Linked DNA regions of Tamandua tetradactyla. Each later gene encodes a partner of the first gene's protein in a complex. Links are inferred from orthologs where the notes say so. Each region holds a gene or a part of one and is shown on either strand. Other genes may lie near its edges.

What was found. The genes of interacting proteins can lie anywhere in the genome.
Region 2: the proteins of LAGE3 (region 1) and GON7 are in contact, whole or in part, in a crystal structure (PDB 6GWJ), measured with the Homo sapiens proteins. The link is inferred for Tamandua tetradactyla from reciprocal best matches to the Homo sapiens genes LAGE3 and GON7. Residues at the interface, in NP_006005.2 of Homo sapiens: Pro60, His61, Ile62, Phe63, Thr64, Leu65, Ser66, Val67, Pro68, Phe69, Pro70, Glu74, Arg102, Ile103, Glu111, Cys113, Leu116, Arg117, Val120, Ile121, Leu124, Asp125, Leu127, Ser128, Val131, Arg132, Met134, Gln135; in NP_115879.2 of Homo sapiens: Met1, Glu2, Leu3, Leu4, Gly5, Glu6, Tyr7, Val8, Gly9, Gln10, Leu17, Asp28, Pro29, Phe30, Gln31, Leu33, Leu34, Val37, Met40, Lys41, Val44, Thr45, Leu47, Phe48, Asp49.

The regions. Positions count from the first base shown.
Region 1 is NC_135353.1:6,783,731-6,791,063, forward strand, and holds LAGE3 (EKC/KEOPS complex subunit LAGE3), read right to left. Parts: upstream 2,561-7,333; coding exon 2,388-2,560; intron 1,965-2,387; coding exon 1,836-1,964; intron 1,584-1,835; coding exon 1,469-1,583; 3' UTR 518-1,468; downstream 1-517. UniProt on the Homo sapiens protein: Component of the EKC/KEOPS complex that is required for the formation of a threonylcarbamoyl group on adenosine at position 37 (t(6)A37) in tRNAs that read codons beginning with adenine.
Region 2 is NC_135346.1:53,342,495-53,350,434, reverse strand, and holds the start of GON7 (EKC/KEOPS complex subunit GON7), read left to right. Parts: upstream 1-4,929; coding exon 4,930-4,948; intron 4,949-7,940. UniProt on the Homo sapiens protein: Component of the EKC/KEOPS complex that is required for the formation of a threonylcarbamoyl group on adenosine at position 37 (t(6)A37) in tRNAs that read codons beginning with adenine.

The sequences.
Region 1 (7,333 bases):
AGGACTGAAGGCAGTTTTTAATCTTAGGGAAAAAAGAAATCCTAAGAAATGGATAGAATGTAATAGAACCACAACCACATTGAGAGGAAGCAGAGCAGATGGTGGAGTCAAAAAGCTTAATCGGCATCTGTCCATCAATGGCTAATATCTAAAAATGATGAATTAAAAAAGGAAGAGGTGGAGAGAGAGAAGGAGAGAATCATATCCTCACTGTAGCAACTACACCTGCCACACTCAGGTGAGATTCATCATCATTTTCACCATCACTTTCCCTAAAAGCAGCTCTCGTACCACCGAGCAAATCTACAAGCAGGAATGGAAAGGTTAAAACTTTTTCCAAGCACCTTGGCATCCCAGAAAAAAGTTCATGGAATACGTTTAGAAATGCAAAAATATCCAGCACCCAAGGTAAAATACATGATGTTTGGCATCCAATCCAAAATTACTAGGCATGCAAAGAAGCAGGAAACGCCAAGCCTCAATGAGGAAAGACATCAATCAACAAAAGACATCTGGATTGGAAAGGGAGTAAAAATGCCTTTATTGAAGGAAAATGTGATTGCTTATGTAGAAAATCCTATGAAATCTACAAAAGAGCCACTAAAATTATTAAGTGTATTTAGCAAGGTTGTAGAATGCAGGTATTTTAGAGGGATCTGAGCTCCTTCCCCCAACCCTTAAGGAATTGTCCTAACACTTTTCTTCACTGATCTGAAGCAAGGCCAGTAAGCCACAAAAAAATCCTAATTTAGTGTTTCTGGGCTGTTTGCTCTTCTCATACGAACTAAGTATTTTATTTTGGCATTAAGCAGACTTCTGGTGACAAAGGATGTGGAGAAACCAGAAGGGCACAATTTCTTGACAACAATTTTGTACCATAAATAGAAAATATTTAACTCAGTAATTCTACCTCCTGGGTTTTTTTTTTTTTTAATCTATCGTAAGGAAATAACTATTCATGCAAAAACTCATATATAAGCATCCTACTGAATCGTTACATATCATAGGGAAAATTGGAAATGATTTAAGTGGGCAACAATTTCATTAAAATACTTCTTTGATACACAGAACAGGTTTTCGCAGGATTTTTAGGAAGCAGAAAAGTTCACGTTAAATGAAAAAAAAAAAATCAGGAAAATAAATTTAACACTAGACTTGGCCAAAAATTATACTTGAATATCTGCATCGCAGACCCTTCCCTCGTTGCAATCCCAGACCAAAGGCATGAAAATCTGCAGGTTCAGCAGCTGAAAAAAAATACTGTTGTGACAGGAAAGAGTAGCTTGTTTTTATTTTCTGTTGGTGAAAACATTTAAGCACCAAATAAACCAAGTGGGACCCCAGCATCCTAGGGCCAGTATGCCCCCCAAATCAGGCCCTTATGGTAAAGTGGCAACTACTCTAGGAATCAAGGCCCCGGGGGGAAGGGCATACTGCCCAGGAGGGGACACCAGGTCAGGCCCCAGGCCTAGCGTGAAACGGGGGGCCCGAAGCGCTGCATTGTCCGCACCACCAGGGAAAGCTGGTCCAGAAAGTTCAGGATGGAAATTCGGAGGAGGCGGGGGTCACCGGCAGTCCACTGGCTGTGAGGGATGGAAAAGGCAAGTCCAGTTCAAGGTGGCAACTTCACCTTCCACCCGGCACCCTCAGACCCCCTGCCACCTGACCATTTAGTGGCTCCATCAGAGCACCCCCTCAGGTGGGGACAGGCCCACTGCGCCACGCCCCCTTCCTCAGACTTCCCCTGAGGGGATCTCTCTGACCCCATTACAGCACCCCAAGGCAGGGACTGGCCCTAAGGAGCAGCTCCCACCCGCGCCCCTTCTAGAACTGACACGGCCAGGGCGCTGCCAGCCACAGTGAGCTGCTTCTCAATCGCCTCCCGGTGGGGTTCGGCATCCGGGGCCAGGGAGCCGCAGGCGATCTCCGCCTCCCTGCGGGACGGGAAAGGGACACTGAGGGAGCTGGCAGGGGATCCGGTTAAGGCACCATCCTCCACTGACTTAGCCTGCGCCTCGCCTCCTGCCGCTCAAGGCCAGAACTGGCGCCCGGCCCGGTCACCCCATTAGTTCACCCCGATTGAGCCTGCTTCTCCCGCCCCCACCCGCCTCAGGCCTTCCCCTCCTCCCCTGGGGCCCCAACTCCCCCGGCGTCCACCGACCCAAGCGGCTCCCCTTTTCGATCCCTCCCCCCCGTTTCGCCGTCCTCCCCCCCTACCCCAGGCTCCCCTTTCCGTCGCCTCCCGCGTTAAACCCCTGCTCTCCTTCCCTTCTCCCCGCCTCCCGCCCCCCTGTCCTTCCCCCCGTCACCCACCCCCCAGGACCCCGTGCCGTCCCTGCCGCTCACGCCCCATCCCCATCCCAGGCCCGCCCCGTCGGCTAGGATACAATCGGTGTACTGGGCTTCCCGGCCCGGTGACCGCGGGCGTGGCGTCTCCACCCGGCCCTGGGGCGTGCGGTGTCCGCGCGACCCGAGACGCGTCACCGACCGGGCGGCCCCCCGAGGAGCCCGCGCCCTCGCGGCCCCCGGGGCCACTTGCGCCTGCGTCTTCCGCCTGCATGGTCGCCCGCCGCCGCCGCCGCCTCCCCCTCCCTCTCCCCCTCCCCCTGCGCCTCATGCTGCGGCTCCAGCGCCAGGCCCCGCCCCCTGCCCCGTGACATCATCTCTGGGCGCCTGCGCAGACAGGCTCCTGCCCGGCGCCGGGCCGGGGTCGGGCCGCGCTCTCAGCCCGGGTGCGGCTGCCCTGCGGGGCTTTGCGTGGCGCGGATGGCGCGATGTGTGGGGGGCTGTCCGGTGGGTCCCCCCCAGAGGTTGACGTCGTGCATCCCGTCCCCGTCGCCGAAGTATGTGGGGACACCACAGGGGGCCTTAAAGGGGGCCAGCGAACCGACGAGATGGGTGGTCGAGAGGGCCGCGGGGACGTGAGGCCTGCCCAGGGGCCTGAGCTGAAGTGGTGGTCGCGGGCATCTGGCTGATACCCCGAAGTCAAAAGCGGAAGGCAGAGCAAGCATCAATATAATCCCAGTGTAGCAAATGACCATATATCCGCGTAGAAACCTGGAAAACTACAGCAAAGTGTGAACAGCCATTTTCGCAGCCTGATGGGATTTATGGGTGATTTTAGTTTGCTTTTCGTGATTTTTGGCCTCCCAATTTTTTTTACAGTTAGCTTCTATGACAGAGTGACAGAATACTTAGACTGACAAGAACTTTCCAATGGTGATTGTAAGTGGTAGTTTTCTGTTTTCCTCCTTGCGATCAAAACGAAGGACCTGCAGCCAAGCTGTATTGGCATATCCCGTTGGATCTCTCTAAAAAATAGATCTGCAATCAGCCCACTCGTCTCCTCCCCACTGAGAGATGCCAGTGCCAGTCGCCATCTCTTCCCTTGTTGGTCCTACCTCCTATTCTCCGCACAGTAGAATGAGGTTTTACTTTTTAATGTGAATCACATCCTGTCATATCCCTGCTTAAAACCCTAAAACGATTTCCCATTGCCCTAGGAATCAAATCCAAACCCTTTGATGGGGCTTATAAAAGTCCAAGGTGATGTGACTCCCAGCTCCTTCTCCAGCCTCTTTCCCTACTTGCCTACTCCTAAAGTCTCCGCAGCCTCCTGGGCCCTTGCTCTGACCCTGACGGAGGTTGACCTGTTCCTGCCCGTGCCGGATTGAAAATATTATGTACCCCAGAAAAGCCATATTTTATTCCTGATTCAGTCTTGTGGGAGCAGCAGTTTCTTTTAATCCTGATTCAAAACTGTAGTTGGTAATATTGGATTAGATTATCTCCACAGAGATGGGACACATCCAGTTCTGGGGATGACTTTTGAATAGAGGGAAATGTGACTCCATCTGTTCCAGTTCTGTCTAGATTAGTTTACTGGAATCCTTTAAAAGAGGAAACATTTTGGAGAGAGAGAGAGCAAGAAAGATGGAAGCCTCAGAGCCAACAGAAATTTGCCAGCAGAGGTGACACAGATGCAGAAACGTGGTGGGCAGACATATAGATGTTAGGAGATGCTTGGAGTCCAGCAGACATCACCATGAGATGTGAAGCAAGCCAGAACCTGGAGAGAGCCAAGGGAAGCCAAGAGATGAAAGCCAGCCCCAGAGAAGCAAAGTGAGGAAACCCCACAGGAACAGAGGCTGAAAGCAACAGGAGCTCAGGAGCAAGGGACCAGCAGATGCCAGCCATGTGACTTCCCAGCTGACAGAGCTGTTCCTGACTCATTGGCCTTTCTTGAGTGAGGGTAACCTCTTGTTGTTGCCTGAATTTGGATACTTTCACTTTCTTAAACTTGCAACGCATTAAATTCCCCTTTTTAAAAGTCATTCCAGTTCTGGCATATTGCATTCTGGCAGCTTGCAAATGAACACACTGCCCCTTGCCCTTACACTTCTGTTTGGAAAATTGTCTCCAAACTGTCCCATGGCTGGCTCCTTGTCCTTAGGATATCAGCTTCAGTGTCACCTCTGAGCAGCCTTCGTGCTCACTAATCTAATACAATCCCCCCAGGCACTCTTTTTTAAAAATGTAATTTAATTTTTATTTAAAAAATATTTTTATTGAGAAATATCCACACGTACAGTCCAATTATATTATACAATCAGTGGCTCACAATATCATCACATAGTTGTGTATTCTTCACCATGATCATTTTTAGAACATTTACGCCACTCCAGAAAAAGAAATAAAGAAGGAAAAAAAAAAAGAATTCATACATTCCATACCTCTTACCCCTCCCTCTCACTGATCTCCAGTATTTCAATCCACCCATTTTTTACCCTCTATCCCCCCCTATTATTTATTATCCTTTTTTTAACTCATCTGTCCATACCCTAGATAAAAGGAGCATCAAATACAAGTTTTTCACAATCACATGGTCACATGGTAAAGGCTATATGGTTATACAATCGTCTTCAGGAATCAAGGCTACTTGCAGTACCCCACGCAAGAACTGTTTAAAAAGTTGAAAAAGTGACCAGACTTTGAGCTGATCTTGTTAGGACTAAGGTAACTCAGAATACAGGGTAAAGGATGATATCAGCCATATGTTAAAACTTCAACTTCTGTGTGAGACTAAAGGGAGAGATGTTTATTTAGTGCAAAATTTATATTTTGGGAAGTGCTTCAGATGCTGAGAGATTTCAAACAGAGCCAAGAGGTTATCCTGGCGGCTATTCTTATGCATTATATAGATAACCCTTTCTTAGTTTGTGGTGTATTGGAGTGGCTGGAGGGAAGTACTTGAAACTTGAGCTGTATTCCAGTAGCCTTGATTCTTGAAGATGACTGTATAAAGATATAACTTTTACAATGGGACTCTGTGATTGCAAAAACCTTGTGTGTGATGCTCCTTTTATCCAGGGTATGGGCAGATGAGTAAAAAAAAATATGGATAAAAATAAATAATAGAGGGTACAAAGGGTACAATAAATTGGGTAGTTGGAGATACTAGTGGTCAATGAGAAGGAGGGGTAAGGGGTATGGTATGATGACTTTATTTTTCTTTTTCTAGAGTGATGCAAATGTTCTAAAAAATGATTATGGTGATGAGTACAAAACTATGTGATGATATTGTGAGCCATTGATTGTACACCATATATGGAATGTATGCGTGTGAAAATTTCTCAATAAAAATATTTCAAAAAAGATGCCATTTCACACCAAGCAGATTGGCAAAAATTTAAGAGTATGATAATATCAAGTGTTAGTGAGTAAATCGACAATAATTCTCATACATTGCTTGTGGTAGTGTCAATTGGAATAATCAACTGGAGGCCAATTGGGCTACATAGGGGAAAAGTTGCAAATTCTCTCACCTTATAAGTCAGCAATTCAGCTTCTGTAAATATGTCATAGTGAAATCCTCATATAGGGTTATGAAGAGAACTCTATAATGGGTCAGCAATTTTTTTCTGTAAAGTCTAGATAGTAAATAATTTAGGCTTCGTGGGCTGTGTATTCTCTATCACAACTATTCAACTCTGCTGTATACCATTACATCAATATGTAAATAAATTGGAAAAAAAAATCAAGACTACCGGAACACAATTCAACACTTTCAGGTACTTCCCTCTAGCTACTCCAATGCACCATAAACTAAAAAGGGATGTCTATATAACTCATAAGAATAACCTCCAGGATAACCTCTCAACTCTGTTTGAAATTGCTTAGCCGTGGAAACTTTGTCTCAGTTCTCTCTTCCCTGTTTTGGTCAACAAGGCTTTCTCAGTCCCATGAAGCCAGGTCCCAGCTCATCCTGGGAGCTCTGTCCCACTTTGCCAGGGAGATTTACACCCCTGGGAGTCACGTAGAGGGCAGGATAGTGGGTTCATCTGCCAAGTTGACTTAGAGAGAGAGAGGCCACATCAGAGCAACAATAGAGGCTCTCTTGGGATGATTTTTCAGCATAATTCTCAGTAGGCTTAGCTTGTCCTTTGCAGGAATATGCTTCATAGGGCCAAGCCCCAAGATTGAGGGCTCAGCCTGTTGAATTGGTTGTCCCCACTGCTTGTGAGAATATCAGGAATTCCCCAGATGGGAAAGTATAATATTTTCTCCTTTCTCCCCAGTCCCCCAAGAGGAGTTTGCAAAATTTTCTTTTTATTCTCTGCCAGAATTACTTTAGGATATATTGACCCCCAGGGACTCTTGTTTTTTTGTTTTAATGTTTGGGTAAAAATATATTCCCCCCTCTTGATGTCTTGGCACTGTTGATATATGCATAGATTACCTGTCCATTACTCTCCTATCTTAACAGACACCAAATTGCCAAGCATGGTTGCTGAGTGATTACTTTCATACTTGAAAAAGTGATATGCCTCACATCAATACAATTATTTTAGTTTTCTTAAAAAAAACAAGTGGTCTAACATGCAGCTTACATATATGATAATTCTGCATTAACATTGAAAGTAGATTACACAAGTTTTAGAAAACATATCGGCTATTTTCAAACAGCAAAATGACAATGATCTATAGCTAGTTTAAGGCATATCAGCATATTTTAAAATTTAAAAATAGACAAAGTTCTAATGCTGTTTGTAGCTTAATTTTTGTTGTATTTTAAAAATTCCCTTCATACCTACATACAATCTAGACCTTATTATCAAAATTTCCATTAAAGAGTCATCACATATATGTCCTGTAAATGGAACTAGGACTTTTGGAAGCTGAGACTTGACAATTTCGGACGTTTGCAAAGGCAAACAAAGGGGTCTGAATGGACAGTTTTGGTAGGACCACACAGAGACAATATGATACGGGTTGGTAGACAGCTGAAAAATCTGACACAGCAGTTTGTATGTGAAAAACTTATGGATATGTC
Region 2 (7,940 bases), on another chromosome or scaffold:
AATTGATGGGGTCTAAGGATTCTGTTACCTTAGAAAAGTGCGACTTAGAGAGGGCCTGGACTTTATTTGTATTCCATCTCTGTCACTGGCTAGCTGTGTGACCTTAGGAAAATGAACCTTTCCTGAGGTGTGGTTTCATTTTCGGTTAAAATAAGAAAACATAGGAATTGCTCTGAGTTATTGGGACGATTATAAAAGACATATGGGAAAGGTCCTTGCAGAAGCTTGTCTCTCAGCAAGTGCTTGCCATTCTGATTTTCCCAAGTATAGTGACCATATTTTGTGAAGCAAAAATAAAACAGATGGTGTAGAAAAGGTTTAATGTTTTTCCCCTGCATTGTAGATAATATTTATTTGTGAAGCTTTACAGAGCCCTACATTCAGTAGCTTTTAGCAATTTTTTTGAGGAAATGATGAAATCCTACAGAATCAGCATTGTATTGGAAAATCTGGGAGGTACTGTTAAAATTACTAAGAATTACCAATTTAACATAATTAGACTTGTGCTAAGCCCTCTTTTAAGTATCCTGGAGGAAAGACTGGCCATTAGTTGATATTTGCATTGAGTCTTGTAAGTTATATTTGAGTGATTTAGTTTAACCTGAGAAATGATGGTTTTTGAATTCTTATTCTTGTTTTAGCAAAGCTGATGAATTCAAACCTTAACAGAATAAGCAGTGAATATTGATATGAGATTTCCTCCTGAGTTTTATTGTTGTGTTCACTGAATTAGTTGACAAAGGGGGACAAAACCTGTTGGTCAAGTGTGTGCATGTTACCTTCTATCAAGTTTCTGCTGATCACAATTGCCTAACAGGAAGTTTGTCTTTGTAGGCAAATGAGGCAGACCAGGAAGACCTGGTAATCCAGTAGGATATCTCTAGCCTATAGTGTATTATTGTTCTTTAACAAAACTCAAAGATTGCAGAGTTCTGTGATGTCAGCAGGAAGTTTTTTAGGAAATTCCCTTTCAGGGTTAGTCAACAATGAAAACCTTAACAGAATGGAAAACTGTGAAGTAGTAACAGTGGACACTAACATGAAAAATTGAAAGAAAAGTTTTATTGTGAGATGTGCAAATGTAAGTGTAATGAATGTAGAGAACCATTTTCTAATAGCCTCCGATGCAGTTGAAAAAGAAAAATCAAGTGAGGGCTGTACTCTTAAGAAAAAGGAACTTGAGTATTTATTTATTTAGGGTTAAATTGAGATCATTTAACTGTCTTGGGAACCAGTAATAAAATATCTTTTGTTCTGTGAAATGACACTCCTAGTCGGATATCTATTAATTTTTGTGTGTCTCTAGCTTAAGGCCTACCACATATTAGCTATTCCATAAGTGTTTATTTGAAGTGAAGGTTGAAAATTAGAGCCACTAGTACAGGAAAAGGGCCTAAGGATTTAAGAGGTCCAGATGTGGGTCCATTAGTTAAGTTGTTGCATTTTATTATAACTTGTTTTGCATTTTGGCTGTAAGAGAAAGTTAGCCATTGAAAAGTAGAATATTGCTTTAGCAGTTAAGTAGTAGACACAGCTCACTTGCTACTTTTGGCAAAATTGGGTTTACTCTTAGGCGCCAGAGTAATAGCACTTAATGGGAAAATCTTGAGCACTCATTATTTGCTTGAGATTTTACTTACATGATTGCTGAAGTTGCGGGTGTTTAAATATTACCATCTAGTTGTTGTGGTAAGGTCAATCATCATAGGCTGGTATTTTAGTCACTTCAGTTGCTTTACCTACAACATGAAAAACCAGAGAGCATCTTTAGTCATTGCCTATGTATTACCAAATTTTGGAATTTAAAAATTACCCAGTTGGTTTCAGTTGTATTTTAGATTGTCATGGACACAATCTTTGTTGTTAAATACAAAGAGTACTTAAGTATCATTGCAGTGTGTTTCATTGTAACGTTAGTATTGTAGACCTTAGAATTGCATGGCTCTTTGTTAGTGAAGTACTTTAAGCCAGATGTACAAAGTTAGCTCTTTAAGAATGGCTGAACTTTTCAGTTGTGTTGTAGTTCAGCCAGGTTGAAATAGGTACTTCAGTAGGTATTTTTGTAGTTCTCCATTCCAATGTTGATTAACCTGGGACCTTTCAGAGAAAAGCTTGGTTTTTTTTTTTCTGACCCAGGAATCATGCGTGCCTTTTCTGACTTGATTCTTGAGTTTGGAGGTAGTAGTGATCTGTGAAAAGGGCTTTTTGGGCTCCTCTACCACCTCGTAGATGTGGGACTTTGAGCAAGCTATTTTTTGCCTTCTATTTTCTTTTGAGAATTAATAGGAGTAGTGGATGTAAAGGGCCTGGTTAATTAGTATTTTAGTAGTCTTCAGTAAAGGTAGACATTATTATAATTATTGCCGGGCATTTTGGCCGTAGTGTGTAATAGAGGAAGTAGCAAATTAATGTGTAAATAAGTTCACAGTCTTTTTATATAAAATTTTCCAATTTATATGTCTGTTGAATGCTTTTTTTCCTTTTCCTTACTGTTTAGAATTTTACGAATTATAAAATTTGGCATGGCAGAAAATGTGGATTTATTGTGGACTGTGTTTATGTATTTAAAGGTGTCTCCTAGTAAAATTAGTGTTTTTTATTATTTTCCCTGGTTTACCTAGTGACTGGCTATTGTAGGGGATTGGCCTTTATTGAATCTGAAGTTCTCTCGAGTATTATATCAGGTGTTTCAAGATGTCCTATATTTCATCTCAGGGGAGAGGATTTGGATAGTATGTAGAAGTGAAGTTTTGTATGTAGCAAACTAAAAGATTTCATTAAGTATTTCTTGTTAGGTGTTTATTTAAATAGCATAAATATCTCTTTTGGTAGACTTTTGAGTACTCCCATATTAATTTTGGCTGACAAACTATTTTTGAAATAGTGGAGGAGTTTTCTTAGGAAATGGAAAAGGAAGTTCATTGTAGGTAAATGGTCTGGGACAGTTTATATGGATGGTAGGGTAAGTTTTTAGCTTCTCTCATTTGGAAATTGCATGTTATTTATTATGAGTAAATGTTAATATTAGGGATGTTTCATTCTTTGCTGTGCAGGTTTTCCTGTCCTCTCAACATAGAGGTGAGGAATATGAACACAGAACTTTTATGCCAAGTGGTTGACTCAGGGATTGTAACTTCTTTTCTGTGCCTCAGATCCACCATTCCTCAGACCCTTCCATTTCTTGGTGGCTGTCCTTTGCCGCTGGTGCCATGGTGGGTGTATGGATTGCTTTCTGTCTTTCAACAGTTGCCGAAGTGCATGTTTGGGATTTTGTTGAAGAAAGCTGGATACAGTAAACGGAAAGAATCTTGGAAGATGCTTGACTGCTGTCTTTTCTCAGACTAGTCTGAAAGGGAATACACCCATTCATTCTGGATTGGTGGATCTGAAGTACAAAATATTTTCCAGGTAAGCATTTACCCTGTACCGTAATGCTTGTGGAACTTAGCTCACTGAGAAGAAACTTAAAAGTTCTTTTCTTTTCCGTTAATAGGGAAAGGAAAAAATCTTAGATATTTGTGCCTAGTGTTCATGTTTGGGTGTGGAGTTGTGAAGGTGTACGTGGCAGATTTGCTGGTACACACTTTGTTTCAGTGTAGGAGTAAAGTTATTTTTTATAGTAGGCTCAAATGGTTTATAGACATAGTCTAATAGGGGATACAGTAAAATGGATATTTTATTTGGGAAATATCTTATAAAATATGGAAAACATCTTGTAATTTTGAGGCACTATCGCACATTATTTATAGTTGATATCTGGCCAAAATTTATAGTTGCTATCTGATCAAGACTACTAGCATATAGAGTAGTAGGCTTTTATTCTTAGGACTCTTAGAGGGTCTTTTCAGAAAGATTTACTGATGGTATGTCGCACCCATTTATTGAACATCTGCTATGTGCTAGACACTGTTGTAGGCCCTTTACATGTATTTCATATTTAATTGGCAAAATGCTTTACCTGCATTTTAGAGATGAGTGAAATGAATCTCATAAGCGTTAAGTTGCCCAGGGCCGTACATTTGAGTAAAGTTTTAAGCTTGGGTCTGTGTTTTCCTAATGCTCCATACTTTCCATTTTACTACCTATGCTGAAGTTTGTATTTGATCTTCTGGATTTTCAAATTGCCAATCTGCAAGAGCAATATGCAGTTACCTAAAATAGTTTCCACTTGAAGAACACATGCTAGGCCATTGTTTGGCATGGGGTTGACATGGTATAATGTCTGGTGCTCTGCTTAAAATGAAAAATCAGAAGATCTTCAGTCAGTTCATCAAGTGAACATGGAGGTAACTTTGGGAGCACAGGGGAGGTAATGCGTTTGGGTGTCAGTACATGGGAAGTATAATTTGGTGTAGTGAACTTGAACTTGTGTCTTTCAGTTCCTCCTTTGTATTTATTGGTTATTTTAATAGCATAGTAGCTCATTTTGTAGACTTCTTTTGACTTGTGGTTTGCTAGCCTTACTGGTAAGACTTCCTGGCAACTCTTCCTTGAAAACATGACTTTTCCTTGCTATTTAATAATCTTTCCATTTCACCCCCTTCCTTTAATCTTAATTATTTTTTACTTCTTAAATTTTATATCATAGACTAACATTCTGACTTTGTATCCTTGCTTTAACTTAATTCCTTAATATTTGCTAATATTTCTCCTAGTTGAGCATTTTTCATCTGGAGTACTGTCAAAGTGGTGGTAGTGGCAATAGTAGTAGTAGTAGTAGTAGTAGTAGTAAACGATTAAACACCTAATACTTATTGGGCACTTAATCTACCGAATACTATTCTAGGCATTTTATAGGTATAAACTGATTTTATCCTTATAGTAACATGGTGTGATAGGTACTGTTTTTTTCCCACTTTATAGATGAGGAAACTGAAAGATAGATTAGTGAAATAATATGCTTCACGGTCACATATCTAGTAACGGACAATGACGAAATATGAACCAGGCAATCTGGATTCACAGAATGTACTTCTACCCTCTGTGCTATACTGCCTCTAGTTTAGAGTATCATCCAGTAATAGAGGGGCAGAAATTCTGAAGACTTACTATATATTTGGATTTCAAGAAATCAAGGGAAAGGGAATAATTGTTGAATATTTATTTCTTACTTTATTTAGAAAACAAATAGTCTACTTCTCAGGGAGCCATCCAGGGCTATCTATCAGATTGTTTCCCAAGAGGACTCACAGGACTTGTTTAAGGTTATCTTCCAAAACAGTGCTGTCCAATAGAGCTTTCTGTGATGATAGAAATGTGCAGAATTTGCTCTGTTCAATTTGGTAGCCACTAGCCATAGTTACCTACTTTGAAATGTGGCTCCAGGACTGAGGAGTTGAATTTTTAATTTTACTTAATTTAAATAGTCACATGTGATTAGTGGCTAACATATTATAGAGTGCAGTTTTAGAATGTACCATTATCCAAGGTCTGGCCTTGGTTTAGCCCCTTTTGAAATCTGATTTGGTCACTATGGTAAAAGCAGCTCCTTATCTCCCAGGGTTGGACTCACAGTAACTATGCTTACAAGGCTTATATGTAAAACCATAGTGCCAGTTTGTTAATTTGCAGTGATTTATGCCCTGTTGGTATGATTAGTATATTGTTAGCTGATAGGCATATTTGCTTACTAGGTCCTAATTTAAATGCCAGTTTATTAGTATTATTTTTAAAATAAGAAATAGGAGTCAGAGGGGCCTGAATAGTAAAGCCAAATGAATGGACACTTTCTTCGTGTAGGTAGACTTTACCCATCGGGTCAGATTATAAACAGGTGGCTTGGTTAGCATGGACTCAACCAGAAAAGTGAGATATGTGATGGACTGAGACTGAGATCCAAATGGGTGGTTTTTCCCTATGGCAAGACCTCTTCCTTCAGCTTCTCTGCTTGCTTTTGTTTTCCAAATCCCTTTTAGATTAAGGCATTCTTTTTTAAGATGCTTCAGTACAGTGAGCTAGAATGCAGTCTTGACTTGAAGGTCTGGGTGTTCTTTTGATTTCCTCAAGGTGCCTTTATCAGTCCTGTGATCTATTATGTTTTTATTTTCAACTTTAAGAAGGCAGTAGTATTTTTCTTGCTTCCTTGTAGCCTTTTTCTACTGAAAACACATGCATTAGAATCTTTAATTTGGTCACACATATTATCTGCATTTTATCATGTTATTAAAAGGAACTTGTTTTTAGTTTACATTACTTTGGGACTTGTTCTTGCTCCTGTTCTCTCCCCCCCATTTATTTATTTATTTATTTATGTTTTAAATGTTTTTTTGTTGTATTGTATAACATATACAAAGCAAAGAAATAAAAGAGCAATAGTTTTCAAAGCACTCTTTAAAACGTGATTACAGGATAGATCCCAGAGTTTGTCATGGGCTACCATACGGTCCTCTCATATTTTTCCTTCTAGCTGCTGCGGAATATAGGAGGCTAGAGGGTTTAAATACTTTTTTTTTTGTCATCACAATTGACTTTTTTTCCTTCTTTTTTTGTGACCAATAACATATATGCAAAAAAGCTATAAATTTCAAAGCACAGCACCCCAATTAGCTGTAGAATATATTTCAGACTTTGACATGGGTTACAATTTCACAATTTTAGGTTTTTACTTCTAGTTGCTCTAAAATACTGGAGATAAAAGAGATATCAATTTGATGATTCAACATTCATATTCATTTAAGTCCTATCTTCTATGTATAATTCCACCATCACCTTTGATCTTTCCATACCTCTCATTGTGGTTGTTTGGGTTATGGCAATTCTAAATTTTTGATATTGATAGGGTCTGCCACGAATATGGGGTAGGAAGATGAAACTATCTGATGTTCTGGAGAGGCTGGGCTAGGTTTCAGGACTTACCTGGACTAGGGACCCATCTGGAGGTTATAGGTTTCTGTCAGGTTTCTCTAGTGCCTGGAACCCTTGAGGAATCTTATATATTGCCCTAGGTGTTCTTTAGGATTGGCAGGTTATGATAGATAATAAGGTCTACCGGAAGCTTGTGTAAGAGCAACCTCCCAGAGTAGCCTCTCGACTATTTGAGAGAGGCTGTATTTGAACTCTCTCTGCCACTGATACTTTATTAATTACACTTCATTTCCCCCATTTGGTCAGGATGGAATTGTTGATCCCACAGTGCCAGGTCTGGATTCATCCCTGGGAGTCCTCTCCCATGTCACCAGGGAGACTTTCACCCCTGGATGTCATGTCCCATGTAGGGGGGAGGGCAGTGATTTCACTTGCAGAGTTGGGCTTTGCTCCTGTTCTTGATATAGAAAGAGTGACATAAGCAAATCCGTAGTTTAGGAAGGTAGCTTTGGTGGATGTGTACAGTATGAATTGAAGTGATGGAAGGCAGAAAGACCAGTTAGTTCAAGCGAGCAGTGATGAAGATGCACCAAGATATTGACAGTAGGGATGCTGGGAGGGGATGTGTGTGGGGGTGGGTTTAAAAGAGATATAGGTGGTAGTATTTATGAGTTTAGGGATTGGTTAGAGGAGTGGGAGAGGGAAGAATCTAAGAATTTTAGGTTTTGGCTATGGACACTTGGATGGATGTTTGTTCTCTTTTCCCAGTCTTAGTTTCCTAGCTGCTAAAAACAAATATCGTATAATGGTTTGATTTAAATAATGGGAATTTATTGCCTCAGGGTTTTAAGGCTAGGAGAAGTCCAGAATCTAGTTATCAAGAAGGTGATGCTTTCTTTGAACCTATACTCTGGCTTCCTATTAATGTTTTCTTTTTAACCATTTACTTATTTATTTATTTTTACATGGGCAGGCACTGGGAATCAAACCCAGGTCCTCGGGCTTAGCAGGCAAGCATTCTTACCTGCTGAGCCACCGTGGCCCACCCGAAGGTGATGCTTTCTTGCTAAGGACTATGGTGTTCTGGAGCTGGCTACTGACGACGATCCTTGGGTCCTTGCCTTTCCCATTGCATG